Schizosaccharomyces pombe: one gene and its partners. The protein of the gene in region 3 binds, or shares a complex with, the protein of the main gene of each other region. Each region holds a gene or a part of one and is shown on either strand. Other genes may lie near its edges.

Region 1 (4,751 bases), 2.0 Mb from region 3:
CTGAAAGTTGGGTCTGCAACTTGAAAAAGGAAGATGCCATTCCATTTGCTCTTGTGGAACAAGGATACGATGTTTGGCTTGGAAACTTACGAGGAAACAAATATAGTATAAAGAATATCAAATTCAGCTCTCAAAATCCAAAGTTTTGGGATTTCAGTCTTGATAGTATCGCTATTTTTGACATACCTTCCATTGTTAAATATATACTGTCCGTTAACAGTTTTGATTCTATAAGCCTTGTTGGATTTTCTCAGGGCGCTATATTAGCATTTGCAGCGCTGTCTATTGATACTGAACTTCGCAATTCCGTACGAGCATTTATTGCTCTAGCTCCTGCAATTGCTCCTAAAAAGTATAGTGGTAGAACCGTTAAATCTATTATTCACGCTAATAGCCAACTTCTTTACCTAATGTTCGGTCGAAATTCCATGCTTGGTTCTGCTGTGTTTTGGCAAGCAGTTTTATATCCGCCAGTTTTTGCAAAAATTGTTGATCTGTTTCTTCGCTTTTTTCTGAGCTGGACCGGAAAAAATATTTCCGAAACTCAGAAAATCGTTGCATACTCCCATCTATATTCCTTTACTTCTGTCAAATGCTTTGTACATTGGGCTCAAATTACGCGTCGCAAAGTATTACAAATGTACGATGACAGTCCAGGATTTAAGCCAAGTTACTATACAAATCTTAACCGAATTGCTCGCTATCCGATTGAAAATATACGTCTACCTATTACTTTAGTTTATGGCAGTAACGATAACATGGTGGACATTGAAACACTCAAGACCCAACTTCCACCATTATCTCAATGCATTCAGGTATGTTCTGAAACAGTTGTAGCTTCATTTACTTAAGTGGAAACTAACAAGTTAAAATTAAAGATTCCTAACTATGAGCATCTCGACATCATCATGGGAGATACGAAAAAGGACATAGTAATTCAGCAAGTCGTAGAACAACTAAATCATGTCATTGCTGGAGATTACTTTGAAAGCATAAAAGAAGAATTTGGACTTGACACAGAATTGGTTGACGGCGTTATGAACCATACAATATAGTGTTCATCGCTTCTGAAACTGGCACAATGTATATTTAATATGTTAGATAAGTTTCTGTTCTAAATCAAACTGAAGCACAGTGTTGTATAGACTGTTTCATCGTATGTGCAACCCTTCTTATCAGTATTTGTATTAAACGGCTAAAAAAAGTTTCTTTGTTTAATTTGAAAAAGTCAATATGGCAACGAAAGCAAAAAAAACTATGCAATTTTTATATGTACAAATAACTTTTAGATAATGCAACAACTAGAAGAATTTGCTGAGTGAATTTGTAACAATTCAAGATTTTATTTCGCAAAAGTTTGAAATGGATTGTACTGCCGCTAATGCATGCTAAGGGGGTAAATTTTCTTTCAAAAACGGGAAATAAATGCTTGATTTTCAGGTAGTAGATTTTTTTCTCTTAACATAAATATCCCCGCCGGTATCCCTTCTATACACATTACCAGTAGAAAGATCAATGAGCCTAAAAACACGCTTCCCAACTTCGCTGGGGCTTGAAGAAATTAGCTCTTCATCTTCATTCAAATCTTTGTGCTCATCAGATGTTTTGTGGAAGTGAGTAGCGTTTTGTCTCATGTTTAATTCCTCAATCGAAGGCCACTTCAGGATTTTAGCAGCCTCTTGAGGTGTAAACGTTTCTCCCTCAGGCAAACTCTTCCAAAGGGATACTGGATTGGAACGCAAAGGAATATCGTTTCCGTCATTAAACTGCATCATCTCAGGTTTAGTACATGCGTTCAGCATTTTCTCCATAACTTCATTATAACTATGAAGAATCGGCTTCTTTTTTTCTTCGAATTCATCATTTATTCTTCTCAACTTTATAAGAGCTTCAATCCTTTGTGGAGATGTGTTGAATTTTCGAGCAAGCACTTCTATACTTGCACCCTGCAAGTATTCATCGGTAATTTTCATACGCAAAGAATGAGATATAGGCCTAGGAGGCTTAAAAAAAGGGTTTAAAGGGAAGGGCTGATTTGTATTAGGTCCCAAGCCTACATTACCAGATGATGAGGACTTTGCTTTCTGTACTTCGGGAGACATTAACCATTGAGCCATCATTAAACGTTGTTTATGACGAAGTGTATTCTTAGAAACTGAAGAAGCAACATCATTTGGGGGTGTTACAGATCTTGAGTTGCAAGCAACGTACTTTGAATCAATGTTCTTTTGAGTGTGTTTATTTAAATCAATATTTCCCCCATTGCTTAAAAATGCTCCAGTACTAAAGAATTGTTTCTTGACTGCTGAGGTATAAGTTTTATTTTGAGATAAATTAAAAGCCGTTTTAAGCCCTAACTGTGAGAATTCCACTGAATTCCTCATTTAGGTGCGTTGGAAAGGTTTCTTGTGTCACTCCCCAAAAGTTAGTAACACGCCCTAATTCTATTCATCAAGATAGATATAGAAAATAAACTTCAAAAAACCAATAATTAATGAGACGATTTAGGAAAACTCAAATTTAACCTCCGGCGGTCAAGCAATCTAGCTCCATTATAAGATCCGATTAACATACAGACGCTTGATTTATTTATGAGACAATAACTCTCAGTATGCAATAAAGTAAGATTTTGTTTATTCTATAGAATGTTTGAGAGTCAGTTCCAATATTAGGATACGAACAGTTATACACATCAATACTTAAAAAATAAATACACAATTTAAGTCATAATTTCTACAGAATCAAACGAAAAAAATTCATTAAATACGGTCATTGCTTCTTTAGACAAGAGTTTCGCATGTCCTTGATATTTTTGTTTGGCAATTGACACATCAACAAATAATAAAGCGGATGGATGGCATTAAATTGATTAGGAAATTCCAAATTGAAAATTAAAGTAGAGGAAAGTTTTAGAATACATGTTATACAAACAAAACGATTTGTGTATCATATTTGTCAGAAAGTTCATAACCAACAATCTCAGCTTAATACCTAAGTTTATTATATTCGGCAAAAAAGGGGAAATAGGTTTAAGGAAACATTTATAAACTTACCTCAAATTATTTAGAGAGTAACCAAAAACCCAAAAAGCAATCAACTAATGAAGAGTGCATGGGCTTAACAATTATTCTAAAAACTTTAACTGAGATGTTTATTTCAAATGTTGAAAGGGAGACAATTCAAAAAGATTTTTAAAGTTAAACGACAATAGGCATATAATTGACCCTACTAAGGCAAAATCCAAAGTGCCTTTCAAAGACCATTTTGTATTTGACCGACTAAATCGTAACCCACTTCCTTTCAGTCTATTATCATAATGTACATTATTGCGAATATGTGTTTTAGAGAAAGCATTTTATGAAGTCATTATTTGGTATCCGAGGAACACTTCAGTAGTAGTTCCTTGCCATCCTCGATTTCCACTAGCTGAAAACATGAATTGACAAGAAGTGTCTACATAAAGCGAACTGACAAGACCTCCATGATGACCTGGAATAATTAAGAACCCTATGCCGGCCTTGCTTTGAAGATCATAAAGGCGGATATTATCAAAGGAGGAAATTACAAGGTGACGGCCATTCGGCATCGAATAGACATTTGAAACAGGACCCGAATCGAGAGGCATTTTTAAAGAGCGAACAGGCTCCTTGCCAGAGTGAATGTTATATTCTTCGACGATTCCATTTCGGCGGCCAATATATATATTATTTCCATCCGGACTCCAACATGCAGACATAGCCCATGGTGGTACACCCTTGGGGACGGGGTATTTGAGAACAGAATCGACCATGCGATGGTCCCATACATTCATAACTCCATCTATAGACGTCGTTAAGAAAATATTGGACTCTTCGGATGAAGATTCGGAAGGAGCTTTTATGTTGTCATTGTTAGTAGTAGATTCGGTTTGAGAGGGTTTTTCTGTCTCGTTCTCCTCATTTGCTTGAACAGATTTAGTTTCTTCTTCAATGGCTTTTTCCACCTCTTCATCAAACAGTGCATCGTAAGAAGAGGAAGACGCAGGTGTACCGAACAAACTACGCATGTCGTCCGATTCAGAACCCCAAGGATTTACAGCGCCTGATGGACGATAAACTATATTCGAAATTTGACCACTCTCACAATTGTATGTAGATATTGCATCACCAGTGTTAAGGTCCCAGTAATAAACCATTTTGTCCCAGCTTCCACTCAATACTTTTTTCTCGGAACCATGTAATGCTAAACACGAAACAGGAGCCGTATGCTTTTTTAAAGAAGTAACGGGATAACCCTCTTGATGTCTTGTAGAGTACAGTATAATATCTCCATTATTGACGCCCGAAAGAACCCAAAGACCTCTGGAATGAGCTGCAAGGCTATATACCGAAGATGGTTTATTTCCATCGTAAGCATTCTCCCAGTAGTTGAGTAATATTCCAGCCTTCGTTACTGTATCCACAAAGGGATGTCTCTGTGCAACAGTCAGGGAGAGATCACCATTAATGCTAGGAAAAAAATCATACTTCCTTATATATCCGTCTTCCCCACCAGTGAAAAGCCATTTTAAATCCGATGTGAAAGCAAATGCGTTTATGCTGGTAGCCATAGGGATTGCCAGGGTAGGCACCACATCATAAAAGCTGGCCGTTGAAGCCTTTTGTTTTAATTTCTCAAGTGGATTTTCCTTTGGTGTTTCTTCAGTTTCCTTCTTTTCAGAGGTTTGCTCAGTATCTTCATCGTTTTCGTTTTCATCTTCCATTGTATCCATC
Region 2 (4,166 bases), 3.7 Mb from region 3:
ACTTCTTGTTGATGAAACGCTAACCGCAAAAAAAAATTTAACAATACACCGTTTAATAAACGAGAAATTAGAAGAAAAGCGGGATTATTTCAAAAAAGGAGAGGAAGCGAAAACTAAAGGAAAGATAGAATGGGTGGAAATTGTAGTAGGAAAGCAAATAAAATTGGAACCCAAGAAAACGCCTATAGTAGTTGTCTTTGAGCGAAGGAAAGTATAAAACAACAAAAAATTAGGTTTTTCCTCTTTCAAGTTGAATTATTATGAAACCGGGTTGAACAGGAATCTTCAAGGTAAGCGACCCCAAGAACGCACTCGTTCACGAACTAACCAAGTAAACGAGACAAGATGAACAAGCTTGACAGGATAAACAATGAAAGAAGAAAAACTTATAAAAACTAAATATATAAAGGGGAATATAGTAAAAATTGGCCCCCAAGCTGCGTTATAAGGAATTGACAGCAATTATATGATGACGGAGAAGAAAGGAGTAGAAACTGACGCAAGGCAGGATGTAAACGTCAAATCTTCAGGTGTTCCGATATGTAATGAGTCTTAAAACTGCTACTAGCCTAAAACCTAGCACCGTTCATCCACAAAGCGATGTCCAAAGAAACGTTTCAATCCGATGTTCCTATTTTGCTTGAATCCGTCGACACAACACACTGACTTGACAGTAACCGGGAGTACGATGGCAAAAATCAATGTCAGTGGATCCAGCAATTCGTAACAACACCAAAAGAATGGGCAATTCAGAACAAGATCAAAATGCTAACTAAAAGAAGCCTAGGTGTTGGGAAATCTCAAAATACCAATTAACCGAACTCCCCAAACAACGATTCGTACGAAAGCAACAAAAACCCTCTAAGATTCAATCAATAGCTTTCTTGATCACTAGAAATTTTCAAGAACGGATGGAGTTAAATATTCAACAGGGATGCGCAATCTACGCGAGTCTTAAGTTATGTTTTGCTGTCGCTAAGTAGAATTTATGGGAGGGAGGAAAAAGCTAAAAGTAGACGAAGCCGCTTAAGCTAAGGAATGTCTATAGCGATTAACATTACGTTATAAGGATTGCGTGGTGAAAAGAAGGTTGGCAAACTACGCATTACATGAGTAACGTTCGTTTATGGTATCTCGTATACGCATTCTACAATCGCTTACAGTATTCCTGTTTAGCAAACTCGATACAAGCAAAGCATACCTTGAACAACGTGGAGAATGCTCGCTTTGTAGTATTCGTGTTACCGTAATTCGTGCTGTATCTCACTCCGGGGGTAGTGAATATGATCAATTCACACTGCTTATAAAGAGAAATAGAGTCAGCAGGAAGTAGAAAGATAAATGGAAGGAAAAGAACGTAATTTCTATCCCAGAAAACGTTTGAAATGATCTTTTGAAATTATGTTTTGTTTGTAAGTATGAACGAAAAGCAAGGCACAACGCTATTTTATAAACAACGGAGTGCACAATACGATACGTCCATCTGCTTTCCATCCTTGATACCTGCATTGTCTTCGTGTTTACTCAAGTTGCTCTTAACCATACTCCTACCACCAAGTGGGAAAGACGGGATTTGTAGGACTCGTTGAAAACCGGCTCTTCTCAATGGTAGTAAAAATTCGTTTGGCGCGTCATGGCGTCAGAAATAGACCTTTTTACCATATCGTAGTTGCGAATGCATGGTAAGTAGGATGAAAACATACCTAGACGGTTGTTTCGTGTTTTACAACACTTGTAGCGGTTCACGTAAAGGGGAAAGTTTTTGTACAGGATTTAGTAAGGGAGATGGCTTGATGTGGGTTATGAAAGAATGGAAGATAAAATGCTAAAAGACTGCTTTTTTTTGACGGTTCCTTTGGCTCTAAATTGCGATCTTTTTTAGAAGCTTTAGTTTTCAGGTATTCCTGGATGCTCTCATCTATTTAATCTAGTCTTTCTACATAGTATTCAAAATGCCAAGGACACCAACCACAATTTTTCTTATTAATTGACTATTTATTGTGGTTTGGCCCCCTTGGCCTCTATTAACTGTTTACATATCACCTGTACATCCTTTTTTTTCTCCTTCATCCATTCCTGTCTTTTGGTTCGACTTTGTTAACTCAATATAGGAAAGCACCTCAAGCCAAACCTATCGAAACCATCGGCACTTTTGATCCCATCCCTAAGAAGATTGATTCTCAGGACTCCATTCCTCGTATAAAAGATATCCAGCTCAACGTTGAACGTTTTAAATATTGGATAAGTGTAGGAGCACAACCATCCGACACCGTCCGCTCTTTAGCTGAAAAGGTATGCCCAAGCTCTCTTTATCTATTTTTATGACTAGTCCAAATTCGTTAAACTTTCTTTCAACTCTCTTTTTTGACTAAAATTTTCGACCCGCTTGCGATATACCGCTCGGGTGATTTTTCTCATGTTCCCTAACTGCCCGGCTTTCCGAAATGGAGTGTAGGATCTCATCCCTGTTTTCGTTACGATTTGGCTACTAATTTACTTGTTTTACTTCTTTCTATCAATCTATCAATTCTTACTAACGTTACTTTTTTCACTTTTAGTTCCAGTTGCTTCCTAAAAAACCCGTTTCTTGAAACTCACTATAATCGTTATTGCTCAAGTCATGACATTTCTTTTTTACGACCACTTCACAATGTCTAGATATCTTTAACACATTTTTTATTTTTTTTTACACTTTATCTCTGTGATCACGCTAATTACCTCTCTCAACTAAATTTCATAATTTTTGACCGATTTTACCCTTCCGTACTGTTTTTTTAAAACCACGTTTTTTGGCTGAGTGCGATATTTGTTTTCTTTACGATTCTTTTTATTACAATATCACCTTTTTTTTTTTAATTCCTTCTCCACATTATCGTTAGCGTAGTGATATCTTAATTTCTAAATTTTTTAAAGTGTCTATCTATCTGAGGTTATGCGCTAGTTGAAAGCGCTCATAATTTGATGCTATCCATTTGTAATTACTTGTTGCTTTGTACTTAAAATTGTTTGGTAATGAGAAATCTTGGTACCAATATTTTGCCTTTGTAATTTTTAGCTTTTGCGTTTATGGTTAAAATGGATCTTCACTTTATACTGAAACTTCATTTCGTTTACTGATGTTATACCCTTATTTTTTTAGAAACAAATTAACAGCTTCATTTCAAATATTTAGGTTAATATCGGTGTATCTATTATTGCTTAGATTTTTGGACTTTCCGTTCGGAAACGGCAATGCGCTTTGTTGCTTTCCTGATTTCCTCATTCGTTTAATTGGAACTGAACACGTTCATTAATAGCCAATTGCAATAGTTGTACAATTCTAACAAATCATTCCTGTACTTCCGTTGAATTTATAAAAGACTTGTCTCAAAGGATTTAAAATCGTTCAACAATGAATATTAACAACTTAATCGTTTGTAACAAAATATTATAAATGGTGAACTAGCCTTATAAGCTAATTTATTAACTGTACCAGAAGCAATTTACTTTGGTATTATTACCATATTTCATCAACCAGTCCAACTCTACACCACTACATTTATTCATGCACCGAACAGTGTAATTTTCAATTAATGCATTAAATACAAGCTAAACATCACAAACCAAATAGTATGTAAAAATAAACTTGAAAAAGAAAGCGAGAAATCACTTAATGAAAAAAAAAAATCTACTACCAAATCTCGAAATGAGTATAGATCAAATTGCAATGCTTTTTCCCTGACATGCATATGTGTAACCGACATATAAGTAATAAACTAGTATACCGCATAGATAATCTAAATGAAAAGTGCTGATTTCGTACTAAAAGCCAACCGTTAAAAGAACCTTTAGTAAAATCGTTGATCGTAAAACTTCAGTTGAACGTTTAAAGAGCGAAAGATACCTATATACTTTCAAGCATTATTTTAAGCCCTGATTGCACAACCAAGAGAGCTTTTGGGCCAATCCTCCCAAAAGTAGAAAAAAGGACACTGTTAAGGACGGAAAACTATAGCAGCCCGAAAAGCACACATAAATTTAAGAAACAAAAATATAAGTAACACAAATTTATTCCATCCGTTTGACAGGTTGTTCTCCTGCTGGCAATGAAGGATGAGTGTCACCAATGTAAATCCAGAAGCCTGGTTCAATAACTTCTAAAACAGCTTGGGCTAAAGCATTCCTGG
Region 3 (3,754 bases):
TTCGTCCAGTTCCTCACAATGTAACCAAGCCTGACCATAAACCCTGGAAGCACGAGGAACACTGCCATCACGGTAAGTTCCCTCGTCCAGTTCCCCACAATGGAACCAAGCCCGATCACAAGCCTTGGAAGCACGAGGAACACTGCTCTTGCCATGAAGACCATTCAGTTCATGAGCGTCCTAGTGCTAAAGGGGCTCTCGAGGACTATATTCAAACATTTGTAGAAACTTTCCAAATTGATGGTATTCGTTTCGATGCTATGGGTGACAAATATAGAAAGTACTGGCCAGATTTTTGCAAAGCTGCTGGAGTGTTTTGCATGGGTGACTTGAAATCTTCCGACTCTTTAAAAGTTTGTGATTGGCAAAACGACTTGGAAGGGTTGAGTAACTTCCCTGTTAGAGAATCTGCTGTAAAAGCATTTTTGATGAATAATCCAGAGGGAATTGTTGATCTTGCCGACAAAATGACTGACATGCGCGGTTTGTGTGTCAATCCCCTATTGTTAGGAAACTTCGTTGAGAACAAAGACCTTCCTAGAATGGCTTCAATTTCTAGTGATCCAGCCACCTTAAAGAATGCAATTGCTTTTGTTCTTATGGGAGATGGTATTCCTATGATGTACAACGGCCAAGAACTTGCCATGCGCGGTGAAGAGGTTCCTTATAATCGACCTGCAATTTGGGAGAAAGGTTTCCCAAAAAGAAATCCTTACTATAAGTTCACGTCTACAATCAATCGTTTCCGCAAAGCTATGATTGAAAGCAAAGACGGAGAAGCTTTCTTAAATATGCAGTCGGATATTAGCATCGTTGATAAAAGAATATTGCTTTTACGACGTGGCAAAGTAATAACCGTACTCAACAACTTAGGTTCATATTACATTCATTTCCATTATACTGTTTCGGCAGAAGAGCACAAGTGGATGGACGTATTATCTTGCAAGTCCGTTCCAGTACAAGATAATCGACAGGTATTTATGGTACGCAACGGTGAACCCATGATCTTGTACCCAGAGGAATCGGCTTATGAGATGGGATTGTGCCCATCTCCAATTCAGCTTACTGAAGATTATAACAGTGAAGGTTCTCTCTCCATTAACGTTGAAGAAGCCCAAACATCAAAGGCACCAGAGCAAAATCGAGGATTTACCAATGTCCTCGCCGCTCTTTTATTATCTTTGTTAATGATTTTGTAGGTATACGTTCCTTGAAATCTAATAATATACAGATTTTTTATTTTACATAAACCTTTTTCATATAAAGTATGATGACTTAGTTTACAGACCCATAGGGCTCTGTACTGAAGTTCATGAACGATAAGTCACCTCAATATAAATAATAGACGGGTAAATCCATTTTAATTTTTGGCTTTAAATTACAAAGTACTCAAGTAAAGCTTTAGCCAAAAAAATTTAAACTCCCATAATGATATCCGACGCAAACCGTCCAAACGTATTCATAATTGCGGTGGTGTGGCTAACTTGTATTTGACACAAGGCGAGCTGCGATACCCAAACACGTCCAGTTCCCTTAAATACTTCGTTGTTGGTTTATATAGGTATTTCAGCAAGTTATACCTAATATTCAGATAATTTGCTTATGCTCAACACAGGTCTACGAAAAGGGCTTGCGCTTTCACCGATAACTCACCTTCTGAAACGATGTAGTTCAGTTACAGACAATGTGCATCGAGTAAACTATTGCTACAATTACCACACAGTTCCTAATCTTTCACAAAGAAATTTGCTACCACTTTTCAGTCCTGAAGCTCTTGACATTGCCTGGGACCAGCATCAACGTCAAGTAGTAAAAGAATTAAATGATCGAGTGAAGGGAACAGAACTTGAGGATTCATCTGTGTTTAACATTATCTTTCAAACAGCCGCTTTGCCTGAGCATGCAGCCACATTCCAGTTTGCAAGTCAAGCTTACAACAATCATTTCTTTTTTCAAAGCTTGATCGGAAAAAGAGCTGCAGATGCCAAAAAAAACTCAAAATATGAAGCTAATGCCGCTATCAATAAAGCAGTCAATGAAAACTTTGGTTCTAAAGAAAATTTACTTTCTAAAATTCATGAGCTTGCCTCAAATAGTTTTGGAGCATGTTGGCTTTGGATTGTAATTGATGATTATAATAGATTAAACTTACTGAGAACTTTTCAAGCAGGTTCTCCGTATCTTTGGACTAGATGGCAATCAAATGATCCCCATCTTATTTCTAGTGTGCCAGATTATAGTGCCAGACCTCGAAAATATGCGCATGTTCCCATTTTAAACCTTTGTTTATGGAATCATGCATATTATAAAGATTACGGTCTTTTAAATCGCTCAAGATACATCGACACATGGTTTGATTGCATAGATTGGTCTGTCATTGAGGAAAGATTGACTAATTCTTTGGTATGAAAGAAAGGTGCAATCAATTTAGATAATTATATCTCATCACAATCTTGTTATGATTTTAAAAAAACGCCTTTTTCTACTTTCACCTTATAAATTTCATTCTAATTTTAATAAAAATTGTGTTTTCTCTACTCGTCCTTGAAACTTCTACAGTAGACTGTTTTGGCTCATGCTCGTATTCTAAATGATTTTAGGCTAATTCCGAGCAATCGAGTCATATAAGTTAAGTAATTTATTAACCAATTAACCGATTTATTGCTTAGAGGTTGAGATTAAAAACATTTTTTTTGTAAAGCTAGAAAAGCGCCAATACACAATGTAATTTACAGTTTATAGTGTCTCTTTTTCATGCAAAATTAAAAAAAAAAGATACCACAGAAAGGAGAAATTGAAATTTTACTGGTGGTTTATTTGCAAAGATAGAGTGGATTAGATTGATATCTAAATGAGAATTGACTAGTAAAGAAAAAGAATGTTCAAGTTAAAAAATCAGTGAGATAAGTGGACGAGCAATTTATCTCCTTGCCGCTGGGTGAACATTTTAACTCTCAAAGAAAGACAGACACCCTTTAGTTATTTGACCACAGGGCTGAATAAACAAAGATTAAAGAGACAAGGGTAGATGCAAGATATCTTCAAGTTATAAAACGAATGAAATAACGTATAAAAGCGATTATTGGATAAATTAATACTCTTCGTCAGCTTCGTACATTTCGTTATCCATAGAATCTTGACCAACCTCTTCGTAATCCCTTTCTAAGGCAGCCAAATCTTCTCTGGCTTCTGAAAATTCACCTTCTTCCATACCTTCACCGACATACCAATGAACAAAAGCACGCTTGCTGTACATAAGGTCAAACTTGTGGTCCAGACGAGACCAAGCTTCAGCAATCGAGGTGGTATTTGAAAGCATACAAACAGCACGATTTACCTTAGCGATTCCACTACCAGGAACGTGTTGGGGTGGCTCATAGCAAATACCGATTTTGAAACCAGTAGGGCACCAATCAACAAATTGGATGGTGCGACGAGATTTAATGCTAGTAACGGCAGCCTGGACATCACGTGGGATAACATCACCACGATACAAAAGACAAGTAGCCATATAGCGGCCAGTTCGTGGATCACATTTTACCATTTGATTATAAGGCTCAAAGCACTGATTCGTAATCTCTTGTACGCTGTTGGATTCATGGAATGCTTTAGCTGCACTGACAATAGGAGAATAAGTGACTAAAGGAAAGTGAATACGAGGGTATGGCACAAGATTAGTTTGAAACTCATTTAAGTCAACATTTAAGCTACCAGCAAATCGAAGAGAAGCGGTGATAGAAGAGACAACTTGAGC
Region 4 (3,565 bases), on a different chromosome or scaffold from region 3:
GAAGGGGAGGTTTTCTTCGAGAGCAATGCCGGTGAAGAATCAGATAGACGTAAATTCTGGCTTTAAAGACATTTTGTCTCATCTGCGACACGTTGTAAAAAGAAAACAGTGTTTGGGTCATATTTTATTGTTTTCGAGGTAGGGTTTGGGTTTGGTAACAATTCTAAATTTTTGGTTAAAAAAGAAAGCATGGCCTTTCATTTTGTATCATTCGTTTACGGTGAAATTGGGAATGAATAATATGATACATGTAGACTAGAAACTAGGAGACATAATTCTTTAATTCAATTATTGGTTTATTTAAAAATCCTAATTAGATTATACTTGCTCGTAATTAGTGATACATTTTTTTATATACTTGAACTTGTCTATAACACTTTCGAGCACTACCGAAGATATTAATTATACTCATAAAAGGCGCTCGCCTATTTAGAAAGCCGTGGTGGTGTGTCCGTAGGAGTCCTCGTTTCTACGGGGAACCTCCTGTTAATTGAATCGCTCATTGCGGCTTTATATAATGTTTCACTCGTATGCTTCAGTTCCTCGCAAGCAATTTTCATTGCAGAGAATTGGTTTTTTAGAAGATTCTCTCTTTGTTTTTCTTGTCGATATTCGTGTATACGCCAAGCGCGATTAATAACTTCGTGTTTTTCCCACATGTCTGGATTCATTTTCAAAGACCTGACTTTTTTATTTCCGTAAAGAGCTTTTCTAACCAAATCGATTGACTCACTATGATTAGAAGGACCAGATTGGTGCTTTCCCTTTGAGGCCTTAGCCATTAATTGTAACGTAGAACGCATCTGCCAAAAAACTTTTCAACACAAACTAAAGTACTCCTTGAATTTTTTCACGTTGATAGAAAAAAATTTAATTTTCAAAAGTATTAACATAAAACCTTCCTTTAAAAGCTAAAAAACCTGAGTAGAGAAAAATGCGGTAGTAGTAAACGTGTTCAGTGGTATGAAGCTAATTAAGAGAGTAAGTCGTGATACACTAGGAAAAGCCACCAGTACGATATTTCAAAAAAAGAAGTGTTTCATCAAATCCCCTTCAATTTCACACACTGATAAAAAAAATATAGATTATAATTCGGAGTTCATTTAATTGTTTCTGAATTTTCAGTAGCTAAGCCAAACAAAGCATATGCATTTATGGAGATATGTAACCAAACGAAGACATTTAACAAGTAGAAAATATTAAGTTTTAAGTCAAAGCTTTATATGGAGTAGGCCTGATGCTCAATTTTTCTGCTAAGTTTCATGTAAGTAGTCAAACACATTGATAAATCCATATCAGTGTTTAAAGTTTTAATGAATGGATAAGTTATTGTAATAAATACTATCATCAACTGAAAATGGCATGGCAAAACGAAGCTTAAACCTCAATACAATCTACTTCCAGTACGTTTTTCAGTAGAAGTCATGAATTAAGTTGATTTTTTCAGCTTAACACTGTACTGTAAATTTGTCGATTAGCATACCTACATTCTGCATCTGTTTTAGACTAGTCCATTAAAGTTCAATTCCTAGAGGAAAAAATATTTAATACGCTAGTTATACCCAAAAATGTTTGTCAAAATATAAAAGAATAAATTTTTGTATCCCATCGAATAATATGAATGCTGCGAGATATTCTATTCCAAGGCAATATACATACACTAACACCAAACCAGCGACGTTCGGGTACAAACTTCGGAATTCCTTGCTCAAGCATCTATTATAGTGATTTTTGAGATTTTATACAGCTCAAATATTAAATTTCCCCAAATAATGATCCGTTTTGCTCAATATGCTCGATATCCGGTAATTTCAAGGTTGATGAAGCCAACAGTTATTTCACCATTTCAGGCTCAAGCGTTTTCTAGCTCTTCAGTTATGTTAAAGACATTAAATCAAACGATAAGAAATAAAGAGAAACGTCCTGAAAAAACAAATAAGCAATCTGTTGCTTTAGAGGGAAGTCCGTTTCGACGGGGTGTGTGCACGAGGGTCTTTACAGTAAAACCCAAAAAACCTAATTCGGCAGTAAGAAAGGTTGCCCGTGTACGCCTTTCAACCGGCCGTTCTGTTACTGCTTACATTCCAGGTATCGGTCATAATGCACAGGAGCATGCTGTGGTATTGTTAAGAGGCGGCAGAGCACAGGATTGTCCAGGAGTCCAATATCATGTTGTTCGGGGTGTCTATGACATTGCTGGTGTAGCGGGACGTGTCACATCCCGAAGCAAGTATGGAGTAAAAAAACCGAAAGCAGCCTAAACTTCATGACCTCAAAGACTTTCTTTTTCGAAAACCATGATATTCAGAAACGTTATCTTTATAATTATTCCACCTCCTCTTTTGATATCGATTCACAAGGACCTTATTAAAATGACTGAAACAAAAATTTAAATGAGAAAAAAGTTGAGTCAACCCATTTGTCATTTCTCGCAACCTTGCTTCTTGTTGCAACTATACATATTCAATAATCATTTACTCTTGCATGTTTAATAAGCAATTTTTTAGTTGAACTACATCCCCTTTAAACATACAATCATCAAAAAAAGGTAAAAAAGATTGTGTAATTAGGCAATTTCCAGTTATCTAAAAAATTAGCAAATAGATAATCCTTTTGGTTAAAATTTAACCAAATCTATCTAAACAATGATTTATTAAAATGAGGAGGATTTTCTTTTGAGAAATCCTTTTGGAAAGTTTTCTACTTTTTTGATATAAGCTCTTTAAATAAATTTTAAACTTGAGACGCTTTCAATTTTTAATTTGTTCAATTTGGTTTTACTACCGTGCTATTTAATTTTTAACTCTTGAATAAAGTATAAAAAACACCTTTTGGGTGTTGGAAAACGCTTTCCGGTTCTTATTTATATAGTATGCAGTATTGCTAGCACAACTTCACCGTTCAACGTTGCAGAAAAATTTACTAAACGATGAGAAAAATATTTTTTAACAAATCTTGGTTAATTGGATTTCTTGAAAGAAAAAGAAGATTTTATCTTGAACCCGAATAATTCATAAATTTGAGATAATAGGGTATGATGAATCTTATTTTTTACAAACTCAGATTAAAAAAAATCAAATTTCTTTTTGTTAGAATCAATTTACACACACATCTTTGAGATGTCCTGTAATGTTTGTAAATTCCGTACTCTTTTTTGGAATGTTAACAAAATCGTAACAAATTTAATAACAATACACAACCACAATTTTGTTTTAAAGAGACATATAACATCAATCACAACATGCTTTTTAATTCATCTGATATTCAATCTTCATACTATTAACTAATTCCAGGAAATAAATTCACTTTCAAAAAAAACATCTTAACTAAAAGCTGTTAAAAAGCAATTTCATATTTACATGCTCATTTCTACGTACAATTCAAAAAAAGCTAACAGACATCTAACATGATTTAGGCCAAGCCTTTCTTTTCCTTAACAGCTTGGAGGGCGCAAAGAGCGGCACCAATACCACTGCCATCCTTGGCAATACCAATGGAAATCAATTTTTCGTTATCACCGATAAGCTCACGCAAGGCTTCACGGAGCATGTCAACAAAGTGAGGA

What was found.
Region 1: SPOM_SPBC16A3.14 (region 3) and bot1 share a complex: the UniProt entries of both Schizosaccharomyces pombe proteins name them as parts of the mitochondrial small ribosomal subunit.
Region 2: SPOM_SPBC16A3.14 (region 3) and mrps16 share a complex: the UniProt entries of both Schizosaccharomyces pombe proteins name them as parts of the mitochondrial small ribosomal subunit.
Region 4: SPOM_SPBC16A3.14 (region 3) and mrps12 share a complex: the UniProt entries of both Schizosaccharomyces pombe proteins name them as parts of the mitochondrial small ribosomal subunit.

The regions. Positions count from the first base shown.
Region 1 is NC_003423.3:2,230,728-2,235,478, forward strand, and holds bot1 (mitochondrial ribosomal protein subunit S45), read right to left. Parts: upstream 2,396-4,751; 5' UTR 2,385-2,395; coding exon 1,437-2,384; 3' UTR 1,056-1,436; coding exon of another isoform or gene 879-1,055; 3' UTR 816-878; downstream 1-815. Other genes in the region: SPOM_SPBC14C8.15 (triglyceride lipase-cholesterol esterase), read left to right, coding at 1-815, 879-1,055; SAGA complex subunit Spt8, read right to left, coding at 3,356-4,751. UniProt on the Schizosaccharomyces pombe protein: Component of the mitochondrial ribosome (mitoribosome), a dedicated translation machinery responsible for the synthesis of mitochondrial genome-encoded proteins, including at least some of the essential transmembrane subunits of the mitochondrial respiratory chain.
Region 2 is NC_003423.3:554,288-558,453, forward strand, and holds mrps16 (mitochondrial ribosomal protein subunit S16), read left to right. Parts: upstream 1-1,537; 5' UTR 1,538-1,605; coding exon 1,606-1,682; exon of another isoform or gene 1,683-2,111; coding exon 2,112-2,292; intron 2,293-2,558; coding exon 2,559-2,591; 3' UTR 2,592-2,961; downstream 2,962-4,166. Other genes in the region: osh42 (oxysterol binding protein), read right to left, coding at 4,048-4,166. UniProt on the Schizosaccharomyces pombe protein: Component of the mitochondrial ribosome (mitoribosome), a dedicated translation machinery responsible for the synthesis of mitochondrial genome-encoded proteins, including at least some of the essential transmembrane subunits of the mitochondrial respiratory chain.
Region 3 is NC_003423.3:4,269,786-4,273,539, reverse strand, and holds SPOM_SPBC16A3.14 (mitochondrial ribosomal protein subunit S26), read left to right. Parts: upstream 1-1,507; 5' UTR 1,508-1,602; coding exon 1,603-2,409; 3' UTR 2,410-2,549; downstream 2,550-3,754. Other genes in the region: meu7 (alpha-amylase 4), read left to right, coding at 1-1,199; nda2 (tubulin alpha 1), read right to left, coding at 3,092-3,754. UniProt on the Schizosaccharomyces pombe protein: Component of the mitochondrial ribosome (mitoribosome), a dedicated translation machinery responsible for the synthesis of mitochondrial genome-encoded proteins, including at least some of the essential transmembrane subunits of the mitochondrial respiratory chain.
Region 4 is NC_003424.3:2,667,030-2,670,594, reverse strand, and holds mrps12 (mitochondrial 37S ribosomal protein uS12m), read left to right. Parts: upstream 1-1,662; 5' UTR 1,663-1,772; coding exon 1,773-2,261; 3' UTR 2,262-2,514; downstream 2,515-3,565. Other genes in the region: Brix domain-containing protein Rpf1, read left to right, coding at 1-66; mrpl28 (mitochondrial 54S ribosomal protein mL40), read right to left, coding at 426-782; hxk2 (hexokinase 2), read right to left, coding at 3,412-3,565. UniProt on the Schizosaccharomyces pombe protein: Component of the mitochondrial ribosome (mitoribosome), a dedicated translation machinery responsible for the synthesis of mitochondrial genome-encoded proteins, including at least some of the essential transmembrane subunits of the mitochondrial respiratory chain.